Coturnix japonica: one gene and its partner. The protein of the gene in region 1 interacts with the protein of each later gene in a pairwise test. Links are inferred from orthologs where the notes say so. Each region holds a gene or a part of one and is shown in the gene's direction. Other genes may lie near its edges. The genes, in order: ZHX1 and ZMYND11.

Evidence for each region.
Region 2: the proteins of ZHX1 (region 1) and ZMYND11 interact in a two-hybrid assay, tested with the Homo sapiens proteins (2 studies listed by BioGRID and IntAct). The link is inferred for Coturnix japonica from reciprocal best matches to the Homo sapiens genes ZHX1 and ZMYND11.

What each region holds. Positions count from the first base shown.
Region 1 is NC_029517.1:124,385,032-124,389,460, reverse strand, and holds the start of ZHX1 (zinc fingers and homeoboxes protein 1), read left to right. Parts: upstream 1-1,483; 5' UTR 1,484-1,698; coding exon 1,699-4,323; 3' UTR 4,324-4,429. UniProt on the Homo sapiens protein: Acts as a transcriptional repressor. Increases DNMT3B-mediated repressive transcriptional activity when DNMT3B is tethered to DNA. May link molecule between DNMT3B and other co-repressor proteins.
Region 2 is NC_029517.1:8,806,687-8,811,108, forward strand, and holds the start of ZMYND11 (zinc finger MYND domain-containing protein 11), read left to right. Parts: upstream 1-1,421; 5' UTR 1,422-1,652; intron 1,653-4,422. UniProt on the Homo sapiens protein: Chromatin reader that specifically recognizes and binds histone H3.3 trimethylated at 'Lys-36' (H3.3K36me3) and regulates RNA polymerase II elongation. Does not bind other histone H3 subtypes (H3.1 or H3.2).

The sequences.
Region 1 (4,429 bases):
ATAAGCAGCCCGTTGTGCCAGGCTGTGCACAGAAGTAGTACAGATAGATTTGGAGGATCACTTACAGACATTTGGTGAGGATTTTGCAGATGACTGTGGTGATGTGCAGTCTCAAAAATCAGCTTACAGAGCAGTGCTGTGTGATAGCTGTGGATGAACGCTAATGTCTTTGGCCTGAAGAAAAAATGTGTGAGGTTAAGAACAGCATCTGCTGTCCACGTTATCAAAATTAAAGATTGTGTTTGGAGCAGAAATGGTATTTTTTTCCCTTTCTCACTTCTTTACTCTTCTTTTGACACTGCTTTCTTTTAAGATTCTGTCATGAGCAAAGCTGTCTTTCTGTTTTTAACCTGTTACATGCTGTTACCTTTATAAACCTTCTGAAACAGCTGCTTGAGTCTTCCTTTTGCACTTGAGCATGCCATTGCTCTGGGAAGTAGGTGATGTTCTGCTATATAAAAATTCATGAATCTATGGGATTTCTGGCTTGAGCAATCAGTGTCTCATTTTGTTTTAAGAAGGAAACTGTTACAGAGTTTATAACCCTTTTCAGTAGCTTGTGCATCATTTCCAATAGACTAGTTGTGGTCCCCATGGGATAACAGCTCACTCCACTCTGGGCAATTTAAGAACATATTTATTCTCTGAATTTATGTAGGCCTCAAATTTAATTTGTACTTCAGTAGTTTTTTTCTTATAAATGAAGTAGGAATTCTGAATAGAAAATATATAATTTTCTTTGGCTTCTGCCTACTGTGTCACTCTTTAATGCCTTTTCTCTAGTGAAGTTTGCATGGTCAGTCTTGTCCCCATTAATGCACGGAGCTATGAAAACAATGTAGTTAATTACCACATGCTAACAATTTATTGGTCTGGGATTGGCCTTCAATTGGAGAATGACATCTGGGGAGCTAGGAAGAGAGGTCTGCCATCCCTGTCTTGTGGAGTGCCTTAACAAGGCGTTGTTTCGTCTCTTTTCAAACTTGGGAGAAATGACCCAGGGCATGCATACATGTATGTACATAATGCAGTAGAAAAATATGCTAAGCGTTCATTTTCTAGGAGCCTTCACACCCTTGGGCATAGCAGACAAGACCATCACGGGGATGCCATGCTGAGTTTGTGATGGGAAGGACTTGAGCTTCTATTGCAGCTGAAAGAGTGTTGTAGCCTAGATAAAGCAGTCCAAGGGTAAGACTGCCAAAATTTGTAGGGAAACAGAAGATTATATTTTCTGTGCCATTCTCTGTCTTATGCCTTTTGTTGCATTCATTGCATAAATTTGAGCTGATAATAAGTAAGTTGGAATTTGCCTTTCTTACTCTAGCCTTGAGGATCAGTCTCTTCTTGGAATGGGTCTGCTGGTTTCAGGGGTGAACAGTGGCAGATTGAACACCAAAGGGTTGAATTAAATCATACTGTGTGTCAGAATAGAAGATACTCTTTAAATTGAACTAATTATACTGTCTCTTCTTTGCTACAGGTGGTGGATGTGGACTTTAAAACAGTGTCTCAACATTTCATCCTCAACTGTCTCTTTTTAATCTGATTGCACTACAAAAGAAAAGCTGCTAATGGGATAAATGTTGAGACGTTACAAGAACTGACTTGAAGTACCAAAAGCCATTATTATTAATCAAGAAGAGCTTGAAGCTAAGTCTGTATCTGACCAGTCAGTATCACTTTCACCTAACAGGCATGGCAAGTAAACGAAAATCAACAACACCGTGCATGGTCTTGGCCAACGAGCAAGATCCGGATCTCGAAATGGTATCAGACTTGGAGGAAGGACCACCTGTAGTCAAGCCAGCAGATAATAATCCTACAGCAGAGAGCATAGCAAGCGAAGAGGATGTCCATGAGAACGTGGATTCAGACAATCAGAAAAATACAAATAAAGTAGAAGGTGGTTATGAGTGTAAATACTGTTCTTTTCAGACTCCAGATCTCAATATGTTTACTTTCCATGTGGACTCAGAACATCCCAATGTAGTATTAAATTCATCCTATGTCTGTGTAGAATGCAATTTTCTCACCAAAAGATACGATGCTCTCTCAGAACATAATTTGAAGTATCACCCTGGAGAGGAGAATTTTAAGTTGACCATGGTGAAACGTAATAATCAGACAATCTTTGAACAAACAGTAAATGATCTCACTTTTGATGGGAGTTTTGTTAGAGAAGAAAATGCTGAACAGGCTGACCCTTCTGAGCCCCCCTCCGCTGGGATCTCCATTAGCAAAACTCCTATTATGAAAATGATGAAAAACAAAACTGAGACTAAACGCATTGCTGTTTTCCACAATGTAGTCGATGGCATTCCTGGTGAAGAGAAGGGAAAGGAAAATGAGCCAAACTCTGAAGAAGTAGTAGAAAACCCACCACTGGCAGTTTCTGAGTCCAAAGCGAGCCATTCGGTTGCTTGCAGTGCGGCCGATGTAGCTAGTACGGTTGTGACCCCAGTGATTCAGCCTGGGGTGGCACAGGTTATAACGGCTGTTACAGCTCCACAGAACTCAAACCTGATCCCCAAAGTCCTGATACCTGTAAACAGCATTCCAACCTATAATACTGCTTTGGACAACAATCCTCTTTTGCTCAACACCTATAACAAATTCCCATATCCAACCATGTCAGAGATCACTGTTCTTTCCACTCAAGCTAAGTACACCGAGGAACAGATTAAAATCTGGTTTTCTGCCCAGCGTCTGAAACATGGTGTGAGCTGGACACCAGAGGAAGTGGAGGAAGCAAGGAGGAAACAATTTAATGGCACAGTGCATACTGTGCCACAGACAATTACCGTTATTCCAGCGCATATTTCCGCTGCCAGCAATGGTTTACCTTCAATTTTACAGACATGCCAAATAGTTGGTCAGCCAGGACTTGTTCTCACTCAAGTTGCAGGTGCAAATACGTTACCAGTAACAGCCCCAATAGCTTTGACTGTAGCAGGAGTCCCAAACCAAACCCAGTTACAGAAGAGTCAGATTCACACTGCTCAGCCTATTGCAGAAACCAAACAAGTTGCTGCCGTTCCAGCCCCTCAGCCTATCAAAAATGAAACCGCACACATGAATCCCGATAACTTTGGCATGCGAGCAAAAAAAACAAAGGAGCAACTGGCAGAATTAAAGGTCAGCTACCTTAAAAATCAGTTTCCTCAGGATTCAGAAATTAGTAGACTTATGAAAATAACAGGCCTGACTAAGGGAGAGATCAAGAAGTGGTTCAGCGATACACGCTACAATCAGAGAAACTCAAAGAATAACCATGGGATCCATCTCAACAGTGACTCATGTGCCACCATCATTATTGACTCCAGTGACGAAATGAATGAGTCTCCAACAGGAGTTGTTCCACAGAACAAGTCGTCCTGGAGTGCATTTCCTGACTTCACCCCACAGAAATTCAAAGAGAAGACAGCCGAGCAGTTGCAAGTCCTCCAAGCAAGTTTTCTTAATAATCCTGTCCTTACTGATGAAGAGATGAATAGGTTAAGAGCCCAAACCAAACTTACCAGGAGAGAGATTGATGCCTGGTTTACAGAAAGAAGGAAATCTACTGTCTTAAAGGAGGAGGGGACTGAGATGAATGAGAGCAATGCCAGCAGCTCAAAAGAGGAAGCTGCGGGAGAAACATCTGTGGGAGATGGAGCAGCAGGGTCAAAATCAGGGAGCACCGCTTCAAGCAAAGTAGGCAAAAAATCACCAGAGCAGTTGCACATGCTTAAAAGTTCTTTTGTCCGTACTCAGTGGCCATCTCCACAGGAGTACAACAAGCTGGCAGAAGAAACGGGGCTCCCGAGATCAGAAATTGTGAGTTGGTTTGGAGATACTCGCTATGCCTGGAAAAATGGGGGATTGAAGTGGTATTATTACTACCAGAGTGCCAATGCAAACAGTCTGAATGGCCAAGGCTTTTCAAGGAAGAGAGGGAGAGGAAGACCAAAGGGGCGGGGAAGAGGGAGGCCTCGAGGGAGGCCTCGGGGAAGCAAGAGGTTAAATTGCTGGGACCGAGGTGTGTCTGTCATAAAATTCAAAACTGGAACAGCAATCTTGAAGGACTACTATATGAAGCACAAATTCCTTAATGAGCAAGACCTTGATGAACTCGTAGCTAAATCTCACATGGGGTATGAGCAGGTCAGAGAGTGGTTTGCAGAAAGGCAGAGAAGATTAGAACTCGGAATAGAGCTGTTTGAGGAAAACGAGGAGGAAGATGAAATGCTGGAAGATCAGGAAGATGAAGAGGAAACGGATGATAGTGATACTTGGGAACCCCCACGACATGTTAAGCGTAAACTTTCAAAATCAGATTGATGTGCAGTTTGGAATCTGGGAGCCAAAAACCTGTGAGTTAGGTTTGATGTTATGGTGAAGAGCCAAACAATTTTTCATGGCCTTCAGCTTCAGCAAGCACCTGCTT
Region 2 (4,422 bases), about 120 Mb from region 1:
ACTTGCACAAACCTGTTAGCTTGAATGAATAGTTGAAACAGTAGAAACGATAAGGACCCAAACGTCTTTACTTATAGAAATACAGCTTAGATGCAACTTGTACAGAGGTTTCAAAGGAACCTAAGGGAACCAAGCCACCAATATCCCATGGAAATTTGGCATATATTTCAATCCAGTGTCTTTTTTCTTTAAATTACATGTCTGAACAAATTCAGAGCCAAGCATCACAACTAAATGTTTAACGCAAGGTAGCCTTTCTGTAATTGTACCCTTCTTGCTTAAACAACAACAACACAAAAGAGCCTGTAAATTTCATTTGTTATTTGTTATTAAAAACAATATGATGAAGTTAATAAACTACATTATCACTGTTCGGTAGCTGCCCAACCCCTCAGGTAGCTTTGAAAGCTGATTACCAGCACTTTTATTCCTATCTATTTATTTTAGATAAAGTAAAATGTTCCTTCATGTTTAAATACACAATAGGAGTAAAGCTTTATCACTGCTGCGCAACAAACTCTTATTTGCACTTTAGTTCTGAAAAGAAGAGCTCTATGTATCAGTCTCAAAGAAGTGTGGTTTGAGACACCACTAAAAATCTCATTTACTAAACACACTGGAGAAACTTTAACTGCTCAGCATGTCAATTGTGTTAAACCTTTGACTGCATGGGCAGAATGGATGCATCTTTTTAATGCTTAGCAGCCAAAAACTACTGTAATGATGCTAATGACTTCTCATGTAAGTGCAATTATTTGCATGCCTAAATTTTCACAGAATGAAACTTACAGTTAAAAATATATAAAATCTATAAAATATGCCACATTGCAGATCAAGATTCATTAATTACAAAATATGTTATTTTCAATTACTTGATTATTTAAATGCTTCAGAAACTTTATTAGTTTGTGGGTTTTTTTTTCTTTTTTCTTTTCTTTTCTTTTTTTTTTTTTTGTCATGTATAAAAATATTTAACAAATAGTTTATTTAAAAACAGGATAAAATGTCTGTGTTCTCATGCTACAACCATATATATATATTTATGCCTATGTAATTGTATATTTCATAGTACTATAGAACTCCTAATCCTGCAGTGAAAGATCCACAGCTTTGAACATACAGCCAGCCAGTTCTGGGAGAGAACAATGACTCTGTGTGGTTTAGTTTCTGTTGCTCGAGATGAATATTCACTTTTGAAAATGTTTTCCATTATTTCTCCAAGCTGGACTTCACAATAAGAGGAACTGGCATGTAGCAGAATCGGGTAACTGGTACATATTTCCCCTGCATTAAGAGAGGATCCAGAACTAACAGCGTGATAGAATACATTTATAATAAATAGTTAAAGATCTGTTTCACGTGTATAAAAAAAAAATAATAAAAGAAACAAACAGCAACTCCAGTAGACACCACTAGAGTTCTCCTTCTCCCAAATATCCCTAGCACCATCCTAAACCCTGTTTACCCCAGAAACCTGAACTGTGGACAGACAGAAGAGGAGAGCGAGAGAGAAAATTCAGACACAATAAAACTCTGAGGGGAAAAATATGTGGAAGGAGGAGGCAGCAGCGGCCTGGGGAAGGGATTGAAAAGTTTCCCCTGGCTTAACTTCGCCCCCCCTGCAGCAGCAGAAGCAGCGGCAGCAGCACAAGGTGAGAGAGACTTTTAAGTCTGGGAAGGAGGGGTGTGTGTGTGTGTGTGTGTGTGTGTGTGCGGGAGGGGGGGTGTTGAATTTACAGCCCCGTGGATATTTCTGTGTCTGCCTCCCTGGCTTTGGGGTGCTCGTGGCACTGCGTCTCATGCTGGGTGGATTTTTTTTTTTAATATGATGGAGGATTATAAACATGGCGCCTTAAAAAAACTACAAAATCATGTACACACTGTTCCAAGGAGATGGGGGAGAGGGGACAGGGGAAGGGCTGGGCACGAGGGGAGGGGGCAATCCTGCCCCGTGGGGGAGCATATGGGGAGGGGGGAGCAATTATACTTAATAATAAAATGTGTGGGGCCGCGGGGGGTGGGGGGATGGAAGGCGGGATTATATATATGTATGTATGTATATATATAATATTTTTCGGAGTGGGAAGGATTATCGCAACCCGCTTGGAAATCGAGGAGGAGAAGGGGACGGCGGCAGAGCGCGTGTGATTATTAACGGCGATTATTTTTGTCCCTACACCTTTTCCCCGCTCGTATTTCGGCCGCCAAAAGCCGGCGGTTTCCCCGAGTTGCAGCCCGCCCGGATCGGGCCGTGCAGAGCCGGGAGCCGATGGGTGGGGAGAGGGACACATCGAAACGCTCCGCGAGGGGCCTGCAGGGCGCGGAGGAGCCGGGGACTCGCGTGAGAGGCGAGACCGAGCGGGGTGTGGCGCAGCCCGGCCTCGGCCCCGCCGCCCCTCGGCTCCGCTCCCCCACGCGTGGCTCCCGCTCGGTTCGCCGCGCTCCCCTCCTTTCTCCTTTTCTCTCACTTCTACCCCACAACCCCCGCATTTCCTCGCTGAGGTGGGGGATGCCTATTCGGAGGACGGGTCTCGGCCCGAGTAATGGCAGCTGCTCGACAGCGCCGAGAGAGACGGCGGCTCCTCGCAGGCCGGGAGCGGGACCGCGACTCCCCTTCCCCGCGGGGGTGGGGAGGAGAAAGGGACGAGAAAGGGGGCGAACTCGGAGCCCCGGCCCTTATGCCTCCGGGCGGCTGCGGGAGGGCTGAACCGCCCCCGCGGAGAGAACGGCCGTGGAGCCGAAGGGACAGGCGGGGGCTCGGCCGTACAATCCGCACCGCCCGGCCTCCAGCGCAGCCCCGAGGCCGCAAATCCGCCCCGGGGTAGAGACGAGCGGCCCGTTTCTGCGCTCCCCCTTTCCCCTTCCCCCCTCCCCCGTCTCTTGTGATGGCCGTGCGGAGCCTTCGCGCTCCCTCCAGAAATAGTTCGCCCGGCGTGATAGGGCCCCGCGGGCCTCGGCGGTCGGGCTTAAGGAAAAAGCCTAGACTTGCTTTTGGCGGCATTTTTAGTGGTTTTTGTTGTTTGTTAGGCACACACCCCCGTTCCCCTAAGCCTTGTCTCTGCGTAACTCCTTTCTGTTCACTTTCTGAGGCGTTGTCCTCCATCCCCAGCCGCGGGGATTGTCCAGAGGCCTATTCATAGCCTTTCTTTTATGAGGAATAGATGAAAGCATGTGTGAGGGGGGTTTCCCATAGCAGGGATGATCAGGAGCTTTACTGATCTTCCCAGTGTGCCATAAAAAAGTCCTCCTGTAAAATATTAAGGAGTTGGAAAACTTTGTGCCTCTGTTTTGGTCCTGTCCTGAAAGCAGCAAGTTCAATTTGGGATTATATTTTGTTTGTTTGTTTGCACAAGTGGCAAGTGCAGGTGCTGCAGCAAGGGGTGACTTAAGGAGAGGAAAAGGGATTAAGAAAAAAACTCTTTAATTTGGCACTGGTTGGTTTTATGATTGCATAATTCGGTAGGTAATGTCCTTGAATTGTCTACCACAATGTCTGTACCACAGGAGTATTACTATTTGCTGTGAAGAAGTTCTATATGATCTTGCTGCAGTGAAGAGGACAGAAGGTAGAAAATGCTTTCTTGTCTCAGTGATGCTTTGTTTTCTTTTCTTTTCTTGCACTTCTGTTGCAATTCATGGTAGGAAATTGCTGAATTGACCTGGGGTGAGCACTGGGACAGGTGTTGGGGTTAGAGTGGGAGTGGAAGTGCCGGCTTGTGGTTCAGATTGTAGTCCTTTGGGCTGTTAAGGCCTCATCCTTCAGTGGGAAGGACCTGGCATCTTTCCACACATTTTTCTTTCTTCCATTTTTTTTTCCTCTTCTAAATCTTACCAACGTTGAGCACATGCTACAGAACGCCTTTAGGGAAGTCAGCTACTTGCTGACTGCTGTTTGATACAAAAGTGAAAGTACCCTCAAAATAATTCCCCGTGTGGATTGTTGGTTACCGCCAGCTTTTTCATGCCTAAACAAACATTCTCTGTCCTGCAGATATGCAGTGGGGGGGCAGGATGGGGTAGGTAGTACTGCGGAGAGCACTTCATCCTTCTGATTGTGAGTTTAGATATACAAATGGAGTAAAAGGTTACTGTAAAAAGGTTACTGTATCAATGGCTGTTTGTTGGCTGTGCTGTGGTTTGTGCGGTCGTGGAGAGGCACCTGCAATGTGGTGTCAGAGGCAGCACCCAAGGACAGAGGGAGTCTTCTGGAACACTTCTTTACCTGAAGAAAAATGACTTCTTGTGAGCTGAATTGCATGATGGAAATTAACTCATGATAAACTCAGCTGTAACTGGAGTTCTGAGTGTGCAGGTACTGGGTGAGAGCATTTAATCTTCAGCGGTGTGCTAAGTTTGCCTTGGCCCTTTATATAGTGTGCCAAAGGAGTATTTCTCAACTTTTTTAGGAAAAATAGGATGCTG